Linked DNA regions of Nothobranchius furzeri. The protein of the gene in region 2 interacts with the protein of the main gene of each other region in a biochemical or structural test. Links are inferred from orthologs where the notes say so. Each region holds a gene or a part of one and is shown on either strand. Other genes may lie near its edges.

Region 1 (4,085 bases), on a different chromosome or scaffold from region 2:
CCAGAGCCACTACACACTTCCTCTGCTGGAGGCAAGGCAAACAAATCATTTCTAAAATTAATTATTTCACAAAATGAATCAATCTGATTTCTGCAACATTAAAATATTGATTTGCTTTACCACCAAATGTAGATCACTCTGGGGTGATTTTTTTATTATAGATGAACATTTTCTTGTTAAAGTGGCATTAAAGTTTTATTAAACCTTCTACAAACTATTTATTATCATTAAAGAACCGACATCATGGCTGCCATCTACCCTGCTGTTTAAACTCACATTATTTTACACAATTTGCTACCATTTCAGTTTATTTACACATGTCGCTGAAGAGGAGGTGTACAACGATTCTCTTACGCTAGAAACATTAAAAACATTTTTATCTTCTTTTAGGATAATATCAGCACTTAGCTACATCTCTCTAATCCACACTCCAGAAGGATTATTACAATGGAGGCGGGAGGGAATGGATTAAAACAAGAGCTTGTGCATCCATCATATTCTTGAGCATTTGCTTGTGTGAGCTCTTGGTGGCATGCACTCATTTCTTACTTGTTTACATTTAACAAGACTGACCTAAATCCTTGTTTTAAAGATCTTACGGCCAACCTGTTTTATGCAGACTCTAAATTACAATTGCACTTTCAATAACATCTACTCTGATTTTGAATAATAAATAACATCCATGTGATTTTAGCCTATTTTGAACAAACAAAAAGTAAATCTGATTCTGCAACTAAACGTAGTAGTGGAAAGGCTACTAGCACCACCTGGTGGTGATAGACGTAAACAGCTGATTGGGAAAACTAAAAACTACACGAACACATCACAGCCTATGTTTTCATGTTGTTTGTGTGTTTTGTACTTACACTCCTCTAAACCCAGCTGGTAAGCCAGGTTCTGAAGTCCTTTGACCTTCTCCATCAGGTTAGCTGTTGTCAGACTACCCAGCTCTGCAGAGTGATTACAAGGCAAAGATTTTAAGCTCCAGTTTGATCAACTCAGTTTCTCCTTGACAAGATTATATATTTATGGAAACACTAACCAGTACAACAGTTTTAACATGAAACGCTGCAGGCACAGAGAAAATCTTTCTAATTAAACATATATTAAAAAAAAAAACAATTGTACCAACCTTTTAACATCTCGATGTCCTCGCTTTCCAATTCAGCCATCCACTTAGGGGGTGAGCTTGTAATGGGCTGTAATAAAAATAAATGATATTATACGGCAATGCCAAATCTAAATGATTATTTAATGTATTAATCTCAGTTAATGACAAAAAACGTATCTTACGTTTTTATAGGATGCAGCAAATTCTGCAACTCCGGGTACTGTGTGAGAAATGACAGGACAGATAAGGTTAAACTGTGGGACCATAAAGAAGCACAGAGGAGATGAAAACTTACACTGCTCAGGCCACAGGTCTGGTGACGCTCTGTCCAGCTTTTCTAAACTAAGCAAAGAGCTTTCAAAATCATCACCTGGCAAAGAAAAGGAAGTAAAATTATGTTCAGAATTCAGGCAGAAATTTCAGAGCTTTAGAACAAAATGTGATCTTCTTGATGTAAATACAAGTAAAATGTGTGACTTATGGACCATTCCCATCTGTACCGGGTCGGCCCGGGCCGGGTAGCCCCAGTCGGCCCCATCCTGGCCCGGTTGATTCCACACATCCTTGTCTTACGCCCATGTGGGCTGATTCTACCCACCAATCAGAGGCTTGCTCTAATGGAAGGTGTGAATTTGCTGTCAGCAGTGGGTGTGTTGGCCCTGGTCGGCCTGAAGCAGACCCCCTCGAGAAGAGGGCTGAGAATGAGCCTTGGTTGGTCCGGAAAAATACCAGGCCACCCAGATATGTAAACAACCAACGCTACCCGGCCCGGACCGACCCGGTACAGATGGGAATGGCCCATATGACTACAGCCAAACAAATGTCAAAATGTAACCACAACAGTTAATACAATATGTTGGCTGTATTAAAACAAAATATGTGTACAAGATAAATACTGATTAATCAGCTGTTCTTAAAAAAATTACTAATATTTGGGAGGTTTAGTTTATTTATCATACCTTTCATTTTTAAATGTTGCTTGATTCAAGTCCCTATACAACCATTTCTGCTAGGCTGTGACAACAACTGTGTGCTGATTATTCAAAAACTATTCTTAAAACCAATATTTAGTGTAACAATTTGTGTTAGCATTATGCTTCCTAATACATGACCCTACATAGTGTGTGTGTGTGTACATATATATATATATATATATATATATATATATATATATATATATATATATATATATATATATATATATATATATATATATAACCTTTCAAAAACCTTTCAAAATATGTTGATGTGAAACAAATAATGCCTCAAAATGTTGGAAAAATGTCGTAAATATTAATTATTAGGCCAGTATTTAACAAAGAGGCAACTCAAAAGCTAGTAGTATTTAAAATATCAGGAGTTACGGAAGGTCTGCAGCCAGCTGTCTACTGTTCTTCCTTGAACGTTGGTGGACTAACAACACCGGGGCTAGTGGAGCCTTCAGTCAAACAAAACCACCTCCGAGAAGTCGGACTACAACGCTGATATGTGTAGTTCTGAATTCTGGGTGTTCAGCTACATCATCAATACATTCGTGGAATAATTTGTGTGATTTAAAGTGTTAAATTTTACATTTTTTAACAGCGTATCTGTGTAAGGAATTAAAATTTACCTCCATTCGGAGACGCCATCTTCACAATAATCACGTGACCCGTGACAACGAATAGGAGTCAATGTTGACAAAGCCTTGTAAATTCACAAACACACCACAAGAGGTCACTCTTACACACCAAAGCCGTGTTCCTGGGGGTAAAATGAATAAACTAATAATTTTATAATAAGTGTCAGGGGCGATCCTAGCATCAGAGGTTTAGGGGTGCTAAGCACACAGCGAGTTCCATGGCCAGGCAAGATACATTTCAACATTTTGTACAATTTTACACAATTTCATTCCAACATTTGTGAAAGAAAAGAAAATCGGTGTTTTTACAAATAGATCTGTGGTTTTACATATCACAATCTATGTTGAACAGATTTTGCTATCTGTGTACAACAATTTGGTCCAAGTTCGAAGAGTCTGGGTCAGTGGTTCCCAACCCTTTTTCTTTGATGACCCAATACAGGATCTATTTTATGGTTTTTGGTGCAATATTTTCTAACAGTGAGTGAAAGTCCGTTTTATTTATTTCTTTTTTTTGTTTGTTTGTTTTATTCATTTATTTAGAAGTTCGATTCTGAACATTCTAATGTTAACAAGAGTTTTATTTGCTGCATTTTAAAGGGTGTACTTGCATTATTATGATATATTAAAATTATATAAGTGATTATTTTGGTCTCGATAATGTCAACAATAATATTGTTTATTGGCAATAATTTGTTGGACAATATATTGTCCTGCAAAATCTGTTATCGTCCCAGGCCTAGTTCACTTGTACAAACTACTTAAAAATTAAAAATCAGCAAATCTATTTTATTTTTCTGTGTACAACAAAATTTTAGCTATTAGCTATAGCTGGGGCTATTAGCAGTTAAAACAGAGATGGATTTTTTTTAAGCTTTATTAAAATAAGAGGCTAAATATTCTCTTCAGAATGTCTAAAAGGAACGTGCAGTACCAGATTTCAGTTGGAAATTAGAGTGTCGTTCTATTTATTGCCAGCGGAGCTAGCAACTATATGTGATTGAATTTTTGAAAAATCTAAAGAGGCTAAATATTCCCTTCTAAATGGATTTAAAAATCGGATGTGCAGTATCAAATTTCAGACACTAGAGGGCAGCAAATACTCCCTTCTTGTCTGCATGCAGTTGGAAACCTGTGTTGTTCTGTTATTTGCCAGCAGAGGGCGCACATTCTCCATTCTTTCAACGAAACAAGTGTTTTAAAAAATAGAGCAAGAGTTTCTACTAAGTCCGTCTTGTAAAAATCTATTTAGACAAAGAACAAAAAGAACCCATATTCAATTTGGTTACTTGTTTCTTAACTTATAAACTTTCTAAATAAATTATATCACTTAAAAGTAATGCAGGTTTTAAA
Region 2 (4,299 bases):
TGTTAGGAAAAAAAGGCACAGTATCTGAATTAATGTTTAGATATTGCATTTTAATGAACATGTTAACCAAATCTAAATTGCATGAAAAGGACAGCAAAAATAAAACAGCAGCAATGTATCAACCTTTGTGAAGAAAAGGGAGAAAACGGTAGGTTTAACAGTGAGAAGGGGCGAGAATACAGCATCTCCACACTGTACAGTGAATCATCCTTCATTTTAAGCCAGAAGGAATCAAAAAATTATTAAATAGCATGTTCAGCTATCAGCATCTCTCACCAGACAACACAATTCACCAGCGCTACACAGTAACCACTATTCAGAATCCCAGCAACAGCACCTAATTAGCATAGCCTATCACCACAGAGATACAGCGTGATTTGGCAAGCCCATCAATGCACAGACCAATCACAACGCAGTATGCAAATAGCCTACTTTTGTTGCCAGGGCAGAGCTGCTCCCATTTTCCAATGAGAAAACAAGAAATAAACAAGAAATAAAACTGAACTTTGGCACACTTAGACGTTGCTTTCAACACAAGAGCTTGACAGTAAAATAGCTGCACAGCCTAAAACCTGCACTTCATCTGAGAGCGTTAGAAAGCTGACCCAGCTTTGGAAAAGCAGAAAATACACATCCACTGACAGAAACAAGAGGAACTGTAAAGTGATAGAGCACAGACAACAAGGTATTTGAGAGCCAAGACGCATCTCTTTTTTCAGCCACTATAAATATGTTAAAATACACATTTATACCTTTTCAGAATGTAATTTAAACAAATTAAAAAGTGAATTACACTTAAGATTATATTAAATATTTGTTCATCTTATGAGCTCTAAATATATCCTTATTATCCATCATGTCTTTGTTACTGTTTATCCTGCTGTGTAAAATAAATGTTACCATTATAACCTAAATAACTAAATAAAAACTACCATCAACAATTTAAAAATAATAACTACAGTCCCGGGCAGTTCAGATTGTGTGACTTGGTCCTGCTCATGATGACTCATAGATGTTAAGTCTTGAGGCCAAATTCAAAACAGCAACATAAGTTAGAAAAGATCATAAGTGAACTAGTTTTCCCCAGCAAAGGGTTAAAGCCTAATGTACAGCTGCTAACCTGGATGCATCTTCTGTTTAATTTCATATCATCCTGGGAGGAGAGTCCAGCAGCAAACCACAACCCACTACAAAGAATAAAAACACTTTATTATAATTTTGCATTTTGGGTGGGATTTAACATCACTGAGATTAAACCTGAGTTAAGAATCAGTGACAGATGGCCACCAAAGATGATAAGGGACCCCCAAAAACTTGTAAAAGTGAGCTGGATGTGAATGCTGTGGAAATAAAACAACTTAAAGCATATTTTAAAAATGTGTGTTAAAAGTTTTAAATTTCAGGTTTTAACTATGAGCTGCTTGAGATTTTAATGAATTAAAATTCAATCGCAAAGCTGTAAAACGGTTAAAAAAATAAATTAAACAAATCAGAATTCACATTGTTGTGGGCCTTGAGGCTTTAGCTTCTTTTAGTATACTCTAGGGTAAAAATGTTATTTAAACGAGAATTTTAGCTTTAAATATACACCAATAAAATAGACAACTGTTCGTCTGAACACAACTATATTTAGTGTACAGGACTATGTAATTTTACAAAGAACTGGAGGGAAGTAACTAGTTTGAGAGTGCTTTACTTCTATTAGACAGTCTTGAGACTTGATTTTATTTAAAACGTTTAAACTAATTGTAATACAAGTAAAATAATAGTGGTACAAAATGCCAATTTTTAGCACACTTGTAGCTCTTTAGTCTTTTCCTAAACGTCTGCTTTATCTTATTCTTCAGTACTAAGAAATGAACAGTTCCTTTCTTGGCTCTGGTCATTATGGCATCTGTGGGCCTATTTATGTGTAAATATATCGACAGCTAGCTTGATATTAGAAGCCGAATCGTACAAAAGGATGCTTAAAGATCTCTGTAACAAGCCCCGTGTGTCATCCTCTCACGCCCAACTGATTAGATTCATTCCAAAGATGGATCAAACATAACCGATCCAAAACAATTAAATGCTAAACGTTCGCGGGGAATAAATATATACCGAGTCGGTCTGTACTTACAGATGATAAGGTAGATCTCGTCATGGTTGGAATTTAGAAAGCATATTCAGTGTTAATTTTCGTCTTCTCTTGCTTACATATTGTTCGTGAGGCAGTCCAAATCCTCAAATAGATGATATTCCCCGTCACGTTACCGCTAGCGGACTAACTAGCTATAACGCTGTCGTCGTTACCCTGAAAACTGCGGGGCAGATGAGCATATCTCTCACCAGCCCGACGTTAGCTAGTGACGCTGTGTGCAGCCAGCGGGCTATGAGGCCCATGCAGTAGATCAAATCGGGGAGGTAAGCTAACACGGCTTCAATCATACAATGACAGGACCCAATATAGCACGGTTAGCAGGAACATTAACACCGTGCCATCACGACTCTCCGTCCAAACTCACAGTCAGCTGGAAATTCCTTCACGTTCAGCATTAAAACCCGTCTCTTGACCTACTGACTGTAAGCAAACGTTAACCCTGGCTCCACAAAATCTCTTAGCCGCCACAACTTCACTACCGCCTCCATCATTGTTAACCATTCACGCTACATGGGACATATATACGTACGAGAAAAGCCAAATTAACGCAAATGTGAAATAGAACAGTTTGGATCTGCTTACCTCTAATGGCACGATCTTCATTTAAAGTCCAATAACCTGTATGATGAGGAAACTTATCCAGCTTGATTCTCCACCTCCCTGCACGGTTAGCGAGTAAATCCAATCCCCCGTCCTCTGGCCGGCTAAAATAACTCACCAGTCACATCTAGTACGCGCTTCATTGTCCAAGCCTTGCTGAGCAACATCCGTGATCGAAGTAATTTCATCAAACGTTACTATCAGCTGATGACCAACAACATGCTAACTAGCACGGGTAACTTACTGGCTAACCTTAGCTGGTTCACAAAATGAAGGCAGCTAACATCAGCTAGCTCCTTTGACTTAGCCTGAAGCTAACGATTCTAGCCACCGCTAAATAAACGTTATGCCAAATTCTGATTTAACGCTCGTCTTTGCGACTGAAATGTCGGTCACCTCGATGAGCGGCGACAACGCGATTACATCTAGTGCATTTTAAACACTAAGCAGAAGCCGTGTCCTCTGATAAATTTTGGTTTGGAATTTTGTGTCAATTTTCACAAAATGGCGCGCGGTCCAAACCTGCGCAGTGAACCGGCCCGGTGGACCAGAGACACGGACAACTGAGTTAGTGCGGCACCGCCTAATTATTTCAACTAGGTTAAAACGTCGGGCTCTTTGTCTTCTTAATAATCCGATCCACTAGACGCATCTCGATATCCAAAAACGTCAAAAATATATCCACTGACAGCATTATTCCGGCGGGAAGGGAGAACATTTGAAAAGACTGAGCTGGGGGGGAAAAAAACCCTCCTGACAAAATGGCGATGCTCTAGCTTGTTGCTATGGAAACTGTCAATCAAAAAAGAAAAAAAAAGAGAAAGAATACCCGGATGTGCCAATGACGAATAAATTCGGAGCTGGCCAGAGTTACAGCGCACACAGGAGTCCAGCGGTGCCCCTCTCCGTGTTTTTAACCTCATTCGGCCTGTTGCTATTTTTTTTGGATGACGATGCTTATTTTATTCCGATAATATTTCACTATGTGGTGGTTCCTCCTCAGCATATTTTAAATCCAATAATGATGATGATGATGATGAAAATAATAATAATAATAATAATAATAATAATAATAGTTATATTTAAGTAATATTATCTCAGCAAAACAAATAAATGCTGAAAATTCTATTTTTAATAAACAATTAGCCTATTAAGTACCAACACAAATGACTGTTATTGACAATATTGAAATTATTAGCACGTAAATTAAATTTGAACAGGATCATCAAATCTGCAGTCCTTGTTCTGTACAAAAAATTTAATAATTAAAACTAATTTAAGCTACAAGTTTCAGATGACTTCTAACAAATGGAAATGTTATGTTATTATATTCTAATTTCTAACCATCCATAAATGTTTTTTTAGCTAAAGGGTAAAATGTTGATATAAACCAAGTTTATGTGAAACCAAATAGCTATCTATAACTGTATTTTTGTTTGTTTTCCCATGAGTACATTATACCAGAGGTGTAGAATGGAGCATGGGCACAATTATGGTGTGAGGACGGGGGGACATGTCCCCTACATTTTCCCATAAGGCAGTTTCGATTCATTAATGAT

The links. The genes of interacting proteins can lie anywhere in the genome.
Region 1: of the proteins of dyrk1ab (region 2) and lin52, one has a biochemical effect on the other in vitro, tested with the Homo sapiens proteins (3 studies listed by BioGRID). The link is inferred for Nothobranchius furzeri from reciprocal best matches to the Homo sapiens genes DYRK1A and LIN52.

What each region holds. Positions count from the first base shown.
Region 1 is NC_091758.1:32,967,693-32,971,777, reverse strand, and holds the start of lin52 (protein lin-52 homolog), read right to left. Parts: upstream 2,826-4,085; 5' UTR 2,743-2,825; coding exon 2,724-2,742; intron 1,482-2,723; coding exon 1,407-1,481; intron 1,332-1,406; coding exon 1,294-1,331; intron 1,200-1,293; coding exon 1,133-1,199; intron 951-1,132; coding exon 867-950; intron 1-866.
Region 2 is NC_091753.1:50,166,833-50,171,131, reverse strand, and holds the start of dyrk1ab (dual-specificity tyrosine-(Y)-phosphorylation regulated kinase 1A, b), read right to left. Parts: upstream 2,861-4,299; 5' UTR 2,723-2,860; intron 2,280-2,722; exon of another isoform or gene 2,120-2,279; intron 1,188-2,119; 5' UTR 1,131-1,187; coding exon 1,121-1,130; intron 1-1,120. UniProt on the Homo sapiens protein: Dual-specificity kinase which possesses both serine/threonine and tyrosine kinase activities. Exhibits a substrate preference for proline at position P+1 and arginine at position P-3.